Linked DNA regions of Nothobranchius furzeri. The protein of the gene in region 1 purifies or fractionates together with the protein of each later gene. This does not show direct contact. Links are inferred from orthologs where the notes say so. Each region holds a gene or a part of one and is shown on either strand. Other genes may lie near its edges.

Region 1 (4,259 bases):
AGGAGCAGAGAGGAGGTTTCAGGGGGAGATATGCAGCTCTAGGATGAGAAGAGGCTTCATGAGAGTGGCAGTTATATCTTGAAACCTCCTCTGGACTCTCTACAGCTTCTATTTGCTGCAACTTTTGACTTCATCTTAATCAACAATCAAAAAAGAACCAGTTGCTTAAGGGTCACAGCTGGAGATGTGAAGCTGAATGATGCTGGAACTGGACCAGTTCTGGTTTCACCAGCTCTTTATGCCTGTACAAAAACAAACAACCATGATCAGATTGGATCTTCTCAGGTTTTAGGTACTTAAAAGATTTCATATGGTTTTTTATTGGACCATGTTCCTGGATTAACCAGACCCAGAGATTCTGTCTCAGTGGGGGATTCCTCACATCTCAATACATCTCCTGAGGAGTGCGTCAGATGTTCACGTTCAGGTTCAGATAAAGCTATAGGACCAGTTCAGATTCTGCAGAGCCTAAAGATTGATCCCAGGAACCCATATCACAAATGTTCAGAGATAGTTCTGATGGGTTCTGTGGTTCTATGATTGTGATGTGTTTATAGTAAGACAAGTCTTTATATGTGTCTCGGATGTCAGTGAGACAGAGACACATGTCCTCTCAGGGAGACAATCAGATGGGGACTATGTGGTTAAAATATCACTCTTTATTTACAACGAAATAATAGACTTATTACAACTATTTGGGCTAATTTCTAATTTTACATGTTGTACTAAAATGATACTCATTAAAACAAACACACTATCTTTATGACGAGGAAATGGCATTTTAACCGACCCTTATTTATGCTAACAGGAGTTATGCTAATGTAGCCAACAGCGTTACCATGGAGACCACCAGCTATGCTAGCAGAACAGAGCTAACAGCATCTCTGTCATGAACACAGGATCCAGCGGTTGTTTTTGAAGGAGAAAAGGTCCTTCAAAGGTCTCCAAGATGGTGCGAGATGTTCTGGATCTCTGCTCGGTTCTATACGGTCTGAAACGAACCAGAACCAACATCAGACCAGACGGTGTCTGTCTGCGTCCGACAGAGGGCGCTGCATCCCGCATTTTACACGCACACACACACGCGCGCGCGCGCGCGCGCGTGTGTGTGTGTGTTTGTGTGTGTGTGAACGCGCGCACATACACAGAGGTATGGCAGGCATTTACTTACGCGCATAAAAACATGCGTGCGCACACACAGGACTCTTTTGTGAAACAAACAAAAGTTTTATTCTAATTTAATTCTGGTTAATTTACCTTTTTTTAAGTAAACGAAACATCAGTCAAGCGTTTTGGTTCCGATGGGGTGGTGCAGTTCGGGAGACGATCCGCATCAGGTGATCAGAACCTTTAGTCTAGGAGCGAGACCCAAACTCCTTAAACAACACTTGGGATCATGATCGGTTCCGAGAACCTGCAGGGTTCTGTTGTCCCACCCGGGTCCCGGAGGGGTTCGAGTCAGACAGACTGAAGGAGTGTGGTGTTGTCCCCGCCCACCCATTCCAACTATAAAACCGCTGTTTGACAGCTCGGAGGTTACTGAGGACCAGGAATCGGACCGGCAGCTTCTCTTCGTTCCAACACAAAGTGTCAGTCAGTCCTAAAGACTCTGGTTCCGGTCGGCTCCTGTCCGCAGCGGTCCGACTCACCTGAGTGTGTGACTTTCCAAACTGGATTTCCGGAGCTCCTCGCCATGCCCGCCCGGCTTTAGGTTCTCCATGGAGCTCTCGAACCTGTACGAGGTCGCGCCCCGGCCCCTGCTGAGCAGTCTGCCCCACGGCCAGCAGCCCCCCTCCGGCTATAGAGACCCGTCTGACCTCGGGGGGGAGATCGGAGACAACGAGACCTCCATAGACCTGAGCGCCTACATCGATCCGTCTGCCTTCAACGACGACTTCCTGGCGGACCTGTTCCACCACAACTCGCGACAGGACAAAGTCAAGATGATGAATGGAGAGTATGACTGCGGTCCGGGTCCACAGCAGCTCTACATGCCTAACTACATGGAGTCCAAGCTGGAGCCGTTCTACGAGCACAACCCGCCGCGCCTCCGACCGGTGGCCATAAAGCAGGAGCCCCGGGATGACGAGGACCTGAACCCGGGCATGCCCCCTTCCTACCACCACCCGCACGCGCATCCTCAGCAGTACCAGCAGCAGCAGCAGCCGCAGATGCCGCACCTGCAGTACCAGATTGCGCACTGCGCGCAGACCACCATGCACCTCCAGCCGGGCCACCCGACGCCTCCACCGACTCCAGTGCCGAGCCCGCACCATCACCACACGCACCAGCACCTGCAGCAGGGCGGCATGAAGCTGCTCGAGCAGCGGGGAGGCGGGAAATCTAAGAAACACGTGGATAAGAGCAGTCCGGAGTACCGGCTGAGGCGCGAGCGCAACAACGTGGCTGTGCGTAAGTCTCGGGACAAGGCCAAGATGCGGAACCTGGAGACCCAGCAGAAGGTGGTGGAGCTGACGACCGACAACGAGCGGCTCAGGCGGAGGGTGGAGCACCTGACCCGGGAGCTGGACACGTTACGGGGCATTTTCAGACAGCTGCCGGACGGGTCGTTCAAACCCATGGGCAGCTGAGAGATCTGAATCGGACTGGACCGGAGAGTGCTGGATTTGTTTAGAGACAGAAGCAGCTGAGTTCTCAAAACAGCTGCACATATGCAGAACTTTTGGGTCAAGGAGCAGAAAACTTAACAGACCCGGTTCGGTTCCGGATGATTTTAATCTTCAGAGCAGCAGAACGGAACTCTTCCATCAACAAACTGAACCCGTTGGAGACTTTTAACTTGTTTGTTTGTTTATTTGTTTGTCGTGTTCTCGTGCCTTTAACGTTTGTGCAAAAGCCGATAAGCTGAATCAGATGTTCAGTGCCTTAAACAGACTGAGTCCAGAACCACTCAGAACATTTCAGTGCAGCTACGATGAGGTTAGTGCGGGACCAGCCTGCGTGCACGACGCCTTCATTACAGAATTTTATTTAATCACAAACGATCTCATGTACGGAACCAAACCGGACCGAAACCTGTTTCTGAGCTGTTTGCTTGGCTGAACTGTGTTTTGCAGGTGATTGGCTGTTGACACCACGTGGTATCAAACTCACCTTCACACTTGCCAGAGATAAACTGTCTGGGGAGTTTGGGTCAGAGCCAGAACCCATGTTTAATAAAACTAGTTCTGAATGACCCTAGCAAAGCCAGGCTGAGGGTTGTTCGGTACTGAAACCGTTACAAACAGAACCGCCAAAGCCCTGCAAGCCCAACCCTGACCCTGTTCAGACTGAAGCTCTCATGCACTAAAGCCAGATACATTGTGGGACATGGGGAGGCAGTGATGGTACTGATCATGGGGAGGGGGTGTACTGATACAGGTTCTGGACAGAACCCAACAGAACTACGCCCCTCTAAACATGTTTTATTGTGATCAGAACAGCTAAATGTGAACCAGGTTTCAGCATCACTCTTCATCTTCCTGCTTGTTGCAGTCATCTTCACTCAGTGCCTTTTGATCGCTCAGATGACCTTTGACCTTTGTCCGATCCCTCAGATGGTTCTCTGACTTGTTCCAGGGAGGAAGAAAGAAGCACTTTGTTGTTTATTTCTGTAATATAAACATAAAATATAAATGAAAAACCAAAATCTGAAGTAATAAAGAAACTTGTTTTATCAAATTTGGTTCTGGTGTTCTTCTGAGAGTGTTCGGCTCTATGTGCACACACACACACACACACACACACACACACACACACACACACACACACACACACACACACACACACACACACACACACACACACACACACACTAAGTCAAAGATATTCATTTTTACTCTAAAACCAGCTGCTTAATGAGGCGTCAGACAGCTGATCTACTGGTTCCAGCTTCTGTTTCCTGTGTATTTAAATGATTATTATTCCCTCAGTTTGTGCTTTAAGGTTCTGTTTGTGTCATGACTCTGCTGCAGGCGACCTGCCATCATGTCGTAAAATCGGAACTCCCTCAGATGTTCCGAAGGAACTTCAATAATCCCTCAGGAAGGTTCCTCTGGAAAATTCAGCTTCCAGCAGCGGCACACAGAAAAGTTTCAACAACAAGACGAACAAAGGAGCCAACAAAAAACCTCAAATGAATAAAAAACAAATGAAAAAAATTACACGAAACACATCAGTGGTATCAGATACATCGCGCATTCAGTAACATTGATGGCCCGGTTGGGTTCTGCTGTCAGCCCCCCAGTGAGTGTGTGGGA
Region 2 (4,207 bases), on another chromosome or scaffold:
CTGCAGTGATGTGGACGTTAAACCAGCCACTTGTGAAGAGGGAGCTAAGCCAGAAAGCAAAGCTCTAAATTAGGGGTGCACAATATATCGGTATCGGCCATTTTTTAACATATCTGTATCGGTCCGATAAATAAAACTAGGTCGATATTAACTGGTATTTTTTTCCATCTTGTTTCCATTTGTTTATCAGTTTCAGAGGGTGAGGGGGTGCTGTGTATTTTAGTCAAGTGACAGTGATTGCAATCATCTCAGTAGAGTAAGTGTGTGTGTGTGTGTGTGTGTGTGTGTACATAATAATGTAAATTCAGCTTTAATAATATTCAGTCTTTACAAAATCTGCTGATTTTAGAAGCATTAATGTCAGTATATCGATATCGGCCCTAACAGTGATATTAATATCGGTATCGGCCCAAAAATGTCACATCAGTGCATCTCTACTCTCAGTTTACCTGCCGGTCTTGATCCCAGTCCTCACCTGTAGTCATGAGCTTTGGGTAATGACAGAAAAAACAAGATGGCGAATACAGGGCGTACACTGTGCGACTTTTTCGTTGGTTGTTCGTCATCTGACACTGTTCACAGGGCACAGCCACGAGTCATGTTCTCACGCTCTGACCGCTCGCACTGTTGTGGTAGTAACACGCCGGTCCAAAGAATGTGTTTTAAGAGTTTTTTTCTCAACGGGTCGAACCTGTGAATCCAGAAACCTGAAAGAGAGGAGACTGTTGTGCCGTCATTGATGTCTGTTGTCCTTGAGGCCTGCCGTAGTTGTGGGAGGACACGCAGGGGTTTATGGGGAATAGAAGTAGAGGAAGAATGAAAGGCATGTAGGAACTAAACCGAGGTTTTGGGATCTGCTTTTACTTGACATGAATACAAAAGGTGCTTTCTTAACATTAACATGTGCAGAGAAAACTGTAAGTAAAAGGTGGAAACGTGTGTGGAGATGAATATGGCTGGCCAGACATTTTGGCGCGTGCGCTGTGTGAGCGGTTCTGGTACATTTGGGTCGCGGTGCAGCTTCAGCGGTGTCATACCCTCACAAGGGATCAGCAGAAATTTAAATATGCTTGATTCTCGTGCGATTGGGAGCTGGTCGGGGGGTCTTAACCGCCTCTCGTAACCCCTTCTATACTACACGACACAAAACTCGACCTGACCTCAAAGACTGTTGCATGGGTGGAAAATTGGCTCAAAATGAGCAGAAAATCACACAGCAGGCCTGGCTTTACAGAGTTTTAGGGATTATAGATTATAACAAAAGTAGCAGCATGAAACAAAAGAACAATCAAATGTCTAGTATAACATCTATTCTGGTTTATGTAGGAAGGCTCATCAGGAAGGTGTTTAACACAGTGGGCTGTTTCTACTCAGGATCTATTTAGTTTTTCACTTTCAACCAACACATCCTGCTGAAATGTGCTCACTTCTGCATCTTTACGTTTCTGGCCTGCTAGCATCATTTTTTAGTGAATTTTAACCGGTTGCTTAGTAATACTGTCACAGAGCACTATCAACTACATCTTACATTGTTGTCAGTGAACGCTGCTTTTTCTCGTAAGGGTTTGATGAATGACTGTAAACAGCCACATCTGCAGCCCAGTGAGGCACCGGCGTGCTCTCCTCAGGAGTTCAGCGTTCAGATTCATCAGCTGACGTTTACCAGGCTCACATCGAAAGCAAAACTCTGCTTCATGCGTACACACCGTGTGTTTAGCTCGAGTATGTGAAGGTTGGCTTAGATGAAGCGAAGCTTGTGCTGTTACTAATGCCAGTCTTGCGTTTGGCTCTCTTGGAGGTGGTGACGCTGTGGTACCGACCTCCTGAAGTTCTGCTGCAGTCCACGTACGCCACTCCGGTGGATATATGGAGCACCGGCTGCATCTTTGCTGAGATGTTCAGACGCAAGTGAGTCAACATAACGTTCAGATCACCGGTATCTGATCTTCTGTCAACTCGGGTTTAGCGGTTTGCTACGACTGGGATGTTTCCAGCTGATAGATGAGCGGTCTGGAAATCCGATAGAATGATTATCTGTGAAACCCGTTTGTTTTTAAAGACTTAGTTCTAGTTTATAACCCAACTTCTGATGATGATTTGCCTTTTAGACTAAATTTAGAATTTAAAAAAAAAGGGAAGGAAAAAAGCTCTGCATCCTCTTCCAAACAAGCCCGGAGATCAACGTTTTCTAGGATGTCAGCATTTGATTTCAGGCTGATGATTTTCAGGGACATAGTTTTACAGATTTTGACAGCTGGAGTTTAGTCTGGGAGCAGCCTGGGTGGACGTACCTAGAAGATATGAAGTTTATGTGTGATGTGTGCAGAGTGGCTCCATCTAGTGGTGGAAAACAGCATGACATCAGCAGCCAACAGGGTTGAAGAACTGTATTTGTTTTAGATGATTAAAATAAAAATTACGTAACTAATTTTACATGTATCGTTTTGTTTTTTAAGACCTTTATTCTGTGGAGAATCAGAAATGGACCAGCTTGGGAAAATATTTGAGTGAGTAACAAAGACTTAGCGGAACATCAGCAACCAGAACGACCAAGCAAATCATTCATTTCACTCATCTGCTTTCAGAGTTATCGGCTTGCCGCAGGAGGAGGAGTGGCCGACCGGCGTCACCGTGTCGAGGAAAAACTTTCCCGCTGTCAAAGCTCGCCCGATCACCGACTTTGTCCCAGAGATAAACGAGCAGGGGGCCAAACTGTTGATGGTAAGACTTGAGTTAACAACTGAAGGCCGATTCTTTTCTCACCTGCCAACGCCCCGGACCCCCGGGCTTTCCTGAACTAAAGCAGAATCGTACAGATGCATGACTTTTCAGCACATTATTAAAGAAATATGAAAATATAATGTAGAAAAGAAATCACACAGAAATATTTTCCTGCAGAAAGTGTCACAGCTAACCATGTGTGGGGGGAATGTTGTCAACCAAATGACTGTAAAAAAAAAAAATAAAATCTATTTTTTGCCTGTTCTCTTTCCTCCACAGCAAATGCTGACCTTTGACCCTTTGAAGCGAATATCAGCGCTGAACGCTCTAGAACATCTGTATTTCCAGGATGAGGAGACGTCGCCTCAGACAACCAGTTGAAATCATGCAGTAGAAAAAGAACCAACAGGATCCAGCGCCCTCTGAGTACAGATTATGTTTAGGGAATATTTCTTAGTTGATCCTGCTTCAGAAATCAGGATGAAACTCTGTGAGGATGAATTTGATGAGCACTGCCATGTTTTTGAGCTTGTACAAGTCACATGTAAAGATGTTATAGCAGCAGTTAAAGGGCAGCACTAGTGATTTTGATGTTTAGTCTTGGAGTCAACATGCAGAAATGTCTCGTTTAAATGCTGCTTTTGTTGCCGTACATTCTCCAGATAGGTTAGTGATGTTTGTCTTACACAGCTGTAACCCGTGTTGAAGCTGCTCGCTGTCTATAATGTGAGTGGCTGTATCTGAATCATGAACATTTTAAATGAAGTTTCAAACAGTTACAGATAAACGCACAAAAGCTTAAAAAATTGGAATTTCTTTTGAGTTATTGCACAAAAGTTTTTTGTGGAATGAATTTCACACCTTCAAATGTCACTAAACACCACACACTGAAATCTGAAATGAATAAAAGAAAGTATTCAATAATTCTGGGTCAGTTTGTTGTGTTTTACAGATGACTGTCTATAAAAATAAAACATCCTCTATCTGAACAGATGAAATATACTTTGTTCTCTAACCCATGTAAGTTTGTATTTGGAGCCACAATCAGAATTAAAGTGTAAAAACACTACAGGCAAATCCAACTTTGATGTAATGTCCTTAAAACAAGTCAAAATGAGGTTCAGTAGTGTGTGTGTGGCCTCCACGTGGTGAGGTGGTGGATGGTCTGAGGGATCTCCTCTCAGATCTGGACTAAAGCATCCTCCACTGCCTGGGCAGTCCGTGTATGATGATGTCCCACATGTGCTCAATTGGATTCAGGTTTGGCGAACAGGCAGGCCAGTCCATAGCATCATGCAGGAACTGCTGACACACTCCAGCCACATGAGGTCTAGCGTTGTCTTATATTAGAAGGAACCCAGGGCCAGCCGCATCTGCATGTTATAGCATGTTGAGGGCCGTGCCACCCCCCACCATTGCTGCCAAATCGGTCCTGCTGGAAGATGTTGCAGGCAGCAGGAGCACGGTGTTGGGCTAAAACACAACC
Region 3 (3,650 bases), on another chromosome or scaffold:
CAGATTAACGATTATTATTCAGGATTATTGAATCTTTTCCCCCATCTCAAATTCACCTGACAGGAGTGTCTTCTTACCTTATGCAAATTATCTTTGTATTCATCGGTTTGTCCTTTTCCCAAAGCGACAATCATGACTTTGTTTTTGCCGAAGAAGAACCTGTGGCACACAAACGAGAGATGAGATGGGTTTGGTCAAACACTCATTTTCAGAAAGTATCATTGAGATAAATCGTTAAAATGCAATTGTTCACCAGAGGGCTTGAAGCTTTAGGATCCATATCAAGTGCTTCCAAGGGTGTTTCACCATAAAATATTATTATTGACTTTGTGAAACAAAGGTAGAGTTTAGCATACTCGTTCTTATTTCTGCTCATGTCTGTTACATTTAACCCAAACTCTGATCTGAATTAAATGTTGTGCTTCTCAAAAATCTTCTTGTGCTTTAATGATCATTTACTGGTTTCATCACTGCACCTTCAGCACTATATAAGATCTGGTCCCAGTCAATCTGATCAGAGCTGTTTTAGGTTAAGCCAAGCCTGCCCCAGTTACCTCAGATACTCTCACACACAGGCACGCACTGTTTTTTATGCTGCATCTTCTGCAATGTAACCGCTCACCCTTTAACTTTGCCCCTTTAGTTTATTCTTACATATAATTGTGTATTTAAATTTGATCACATTTTATTAATGCATTTCAATTCTGACATTAAAATCTGCTCATTTACGCTGTCACACAGATTTTAATAATCTTACTAAGCTTACAACTGGAAACCACATTGAACTGCCTCTGTGTATGAAATGTGTTAAACAGAAAAAGCTTTAGTGTCATGAACATAATACATTAAATGCTTGCTAAATTAAGTGAAAACAAGTTATTAAAGCTCATTCTTTGAGGCTGGGTGTGAATTTCTTCTACCTGAATCTATTCCTTTTTGTTAAAGATGGGGTCTTGGGACTCCGAATATAGGCAGTTGTTTACATTGTTCAAAATAAGATGAAGTCCACAAGCACTTTAGTATGAAGTCTGTGATTTTATTTAAACAAATTATTTATAAAAAATATTTATTGTGTTTGTTCAATTAGTAAAAAGCCTTTAAAAACAAACACATGATGTTATTAAAACGAGTTGCTTTAAATGTCCTACAAAGTCGCACTGGTGTACAGGTAAATCAGCTAATATGTAATACCATTACAAACTTCGGATGATTCCCACCCACCGCTACTGTAGTTTAACTGGTCACGTGACAGCAAATGATTCACTCATTAACTCATAACTTACTAAAAATAAACTAATTTGTATTACCTGCTGTGTTTCCATGCTGTCCTGATGTCTTTAAGCTTGTTATTCCTCATATTTTCAACTGAAAATATAAACAAGTATCTGTAGGTGTCCACACATTTCCGTAGCTAAAAGAGAAGATCGGATGGAGAATTTAAATGCATTTAGCCAACGCCAGTCTGTGACAGCAGATCGGGGGGAAAAACATAAAGACTCACCTCCTCGATTAACTTCTGCTTTGATTCTAAGCCCTTCTTGGTGGTTTTAGTTAAGGAAACTGAGAAGAAAATGGGGGAAATAATTCAGTTTGATGCCTAAAGCAACGCGACTTGCCATGATGAAGCTAGCATTAGCTTGTAGTGTACTTCCCTAGCAGCATTTATATATCAGTAATACATTTATTAGACCAGAGACTTGTTTAAAATAGATGCCGATGTAATACGCTGTACTTAGTTAAATATGAAAGCGTTTTGGCTTACTTTTCTTGTCTCTCTTTGACTTCGGCATGGTTACCCACAGCAGGCGCACACGTGAAAGAAAAAGGACCCCAAATGTTTCTGTTCAGTGAAGGCAGTCCCAGAGCGCCTGTTTAAAAATGAAAATAACATATTTTAATTACTAAAATGTTGGCTTTCGGGCGCACTTTTTCAGAGGTTCAATTGTGAAATGTGGTCATTAATTTCTTTAACCTTACTATTTTTTTATTTGTAAATGTTAGATTTTTGTCAAAAGTGTGACCAAGTCACTGCTTTGCAAGTCACACGTAAGTCAAGTCCAAGTCAAAGACAACCAAGTCCAATTATAAACAAAGTGCTGCTGCATTTAGAAGTACAAGATCAAACCCAGAACGAAGAATTATTTATGATTTTTGTCCATGCCATGCCACTTTTGTGCTAAAATATCAAATATGCTCAAGTCATTGTCAAGTCAACAGATGTAAGTCGATTCAAGTTGCAAGTCATTGGTGTTCAAGTCCGAGTCAAGTTGCAAGTCTTTATAGATTTTATCAAGTTAAGTCAGAAGTCAGTAAAATAATGACTCAAGTCCAAGTCATGTGCCTCGAGTCCTCACCTCTGTTTTTTTCCATGACACTTCTTTTGCAAAATTGGGTGGTCACTAGATGTGTTTTTAATAAAGCTGTTATTTTAAATGTCTAGTCTATATGTGTAGCTACTTTGTCCATTATTCTACTTGTTTTTCTTATTGAATGCAGTGTCACAAGCTTAAAACAAGACACACCAAATAAGAAAGCATAGTTTTGTGTGACTCTGGTACACACAATACATCTGAAATATGAAACTTTCATTGTGTGAAAACTTCTTGCTATGACACAGTAAAAGCTTTCAACTGCCTCAAAAACAGTGATGTCATTGGGGTTATGAAGGTAAAATGAAGTGTGCAGTTGAAAATATTAGAACTGATGGAAATCCACAAACAACACTTAATAATGACGGAGATTTTATTTAATCATCTGAAAAAGTTTTGTGCATATTTGAGCTGGTCATTTAAAAAATCTAAAGGTCTATTTTTATCAAGATGACATGGCTTTAAAAAGAAAGGGGTTTTTAATTAAAAAAAATGTAACCAAGCAAACAACACTGTAAAAACTTTGGCCTATTAAAGGGCTTATTCTCAAATAAAACAAACTTGAGACAACATGATGTGAAAATATTAATACATTCAATCATAAGGTGAAAATGCTTGCTTCTATGTTAAAGCCATGTTACACAACTTTTTCATATTTTTAAACCATTTTCTCAAGCCAGCATGTGCTAAAATAACCCTTTACAGGGTTAATGAAATGCCACTCAGCCTCCCACCGTCCTCTGTGGCCAGAATACAGCATTTGCAACAACACCGGTGGTCTGAGCGGACATGGATTGCATATCACTGCAGTCTGGTTCCAGCATGTTTTAGATCGTGAACACAGCTGATTTGTTTGATTTAGTTATGAATCGCTCATGCAGACACTAATGAAGGCTGAGGAGACATTTCAGGCATTAGATTAAAGTGTTAAAAAGATGGACGCATAGGGAGGAGAAAACTTTTGCTTTCAAGTCTACTAAACAGACACTAGGGGGTGCTAAAAGCAACCAAAACTGCCATGTGTGCGTTTCATAAGTTACATAGAGCCAGCCTAAGTTTCAACAAAAGTTTTTTAAAGACAAAACCATAATGCAACTCATTTGAAGTCAGCGCACTTTACTTCCACTCAGTTTAATTTAAACCCAGTTACAAAAGGGCCATTGGGTGATAAACTATGGGGTGCCATTTGTAAAGTCAAACAGTCATAATCTAACAGCAATATTTTTGGTTATTTAGCATATCATAAGAGAAAAAATTGAGAGTTCACTTTTTCAAAGTCAT

What was found.
Region 2: the proteins of cebpa (region 1) and cdk4 purify together in Homo sapiens (affinity purification with western blotting; 3 studies listed by BioGRID, with this or other methods). This does not show direct contact. The link is inferred for Nothobranchius furzeri from reciprocal best matches to the Homo sapiens genes CEBPA and CDK4.
Region 3: the proteins of cebpa (region 1) and mrto4 purify together in Homo sapiens (affinity purification with mass spectrometry; 3 studies listed by BioGRID and IntAct, with this or other methods). This does not show direct contact. The link is inferred for Nothobranchius furzeri from reciprocal best matches to the Homo sapiens genes CEBPA and MRTO4.

What each region holds. Positions count from the first base shown.
Region 1 is NC_091749.1:66,139,089-66,143,347, forward strand, and holds cebpa (CCAAT/enhancer-binding protein alpha), read left to right. Parts: upstream 1-1,319; 5' UTR 1,320-1,718; coding exon 1,719-2,591; 3' UTR 2,592-3,681; downstream 3,682-4,259. UniProt on the Homo sapiens protein: Transcription factor that coordinates proliferation arrest and the differentiation of myeloid progenitors, adipocytes, hepatocytes, and cells of the lung and the placenta.
Region 2 is NC_091743.1:49,241,496-49,245,702, forward strand, and holds the end of cdk4 (cyclin-dependent kinase 4), read left to right. Parts: intron 1-1,798; coding exon 1,799-1,908; intron 1,909-2,456; coding exon 2,457-2,507; intron 2,508-2,585; coding exon 2,586-2,721; intron 2,722-3,000; coding exon 3,001-3,102; 3' UTR 3,103-3,645; downstream 3,646-4,207.
Region 3 is NC_091743.1:63,518,557-63,522,206, reverse strand, and holds part of mrto4 (mRNA turnover protein 4 homolog), read right to left. Parts: intron 1,869-3,650; 5' UTR 1,791-1,868; coding exon 1,763-1,790; intron 1,561-1,762; coding exon 1,502-1,560; intron 1,412-1,501; coding exon 1,308-1,411; intron 160-1,307; coding exon 78-159; intron 1-77. UniProt on the Homo sapiens protein: Component of the ribosome assembly machinery. Nuclear paralog of the ribosomal protein P0, it binds pre-60S subunits at an early stage of assembly in the nucleolus, and is replaced by P0 in cytoplasmic pre-60S subunits and mature 80S ribosomes.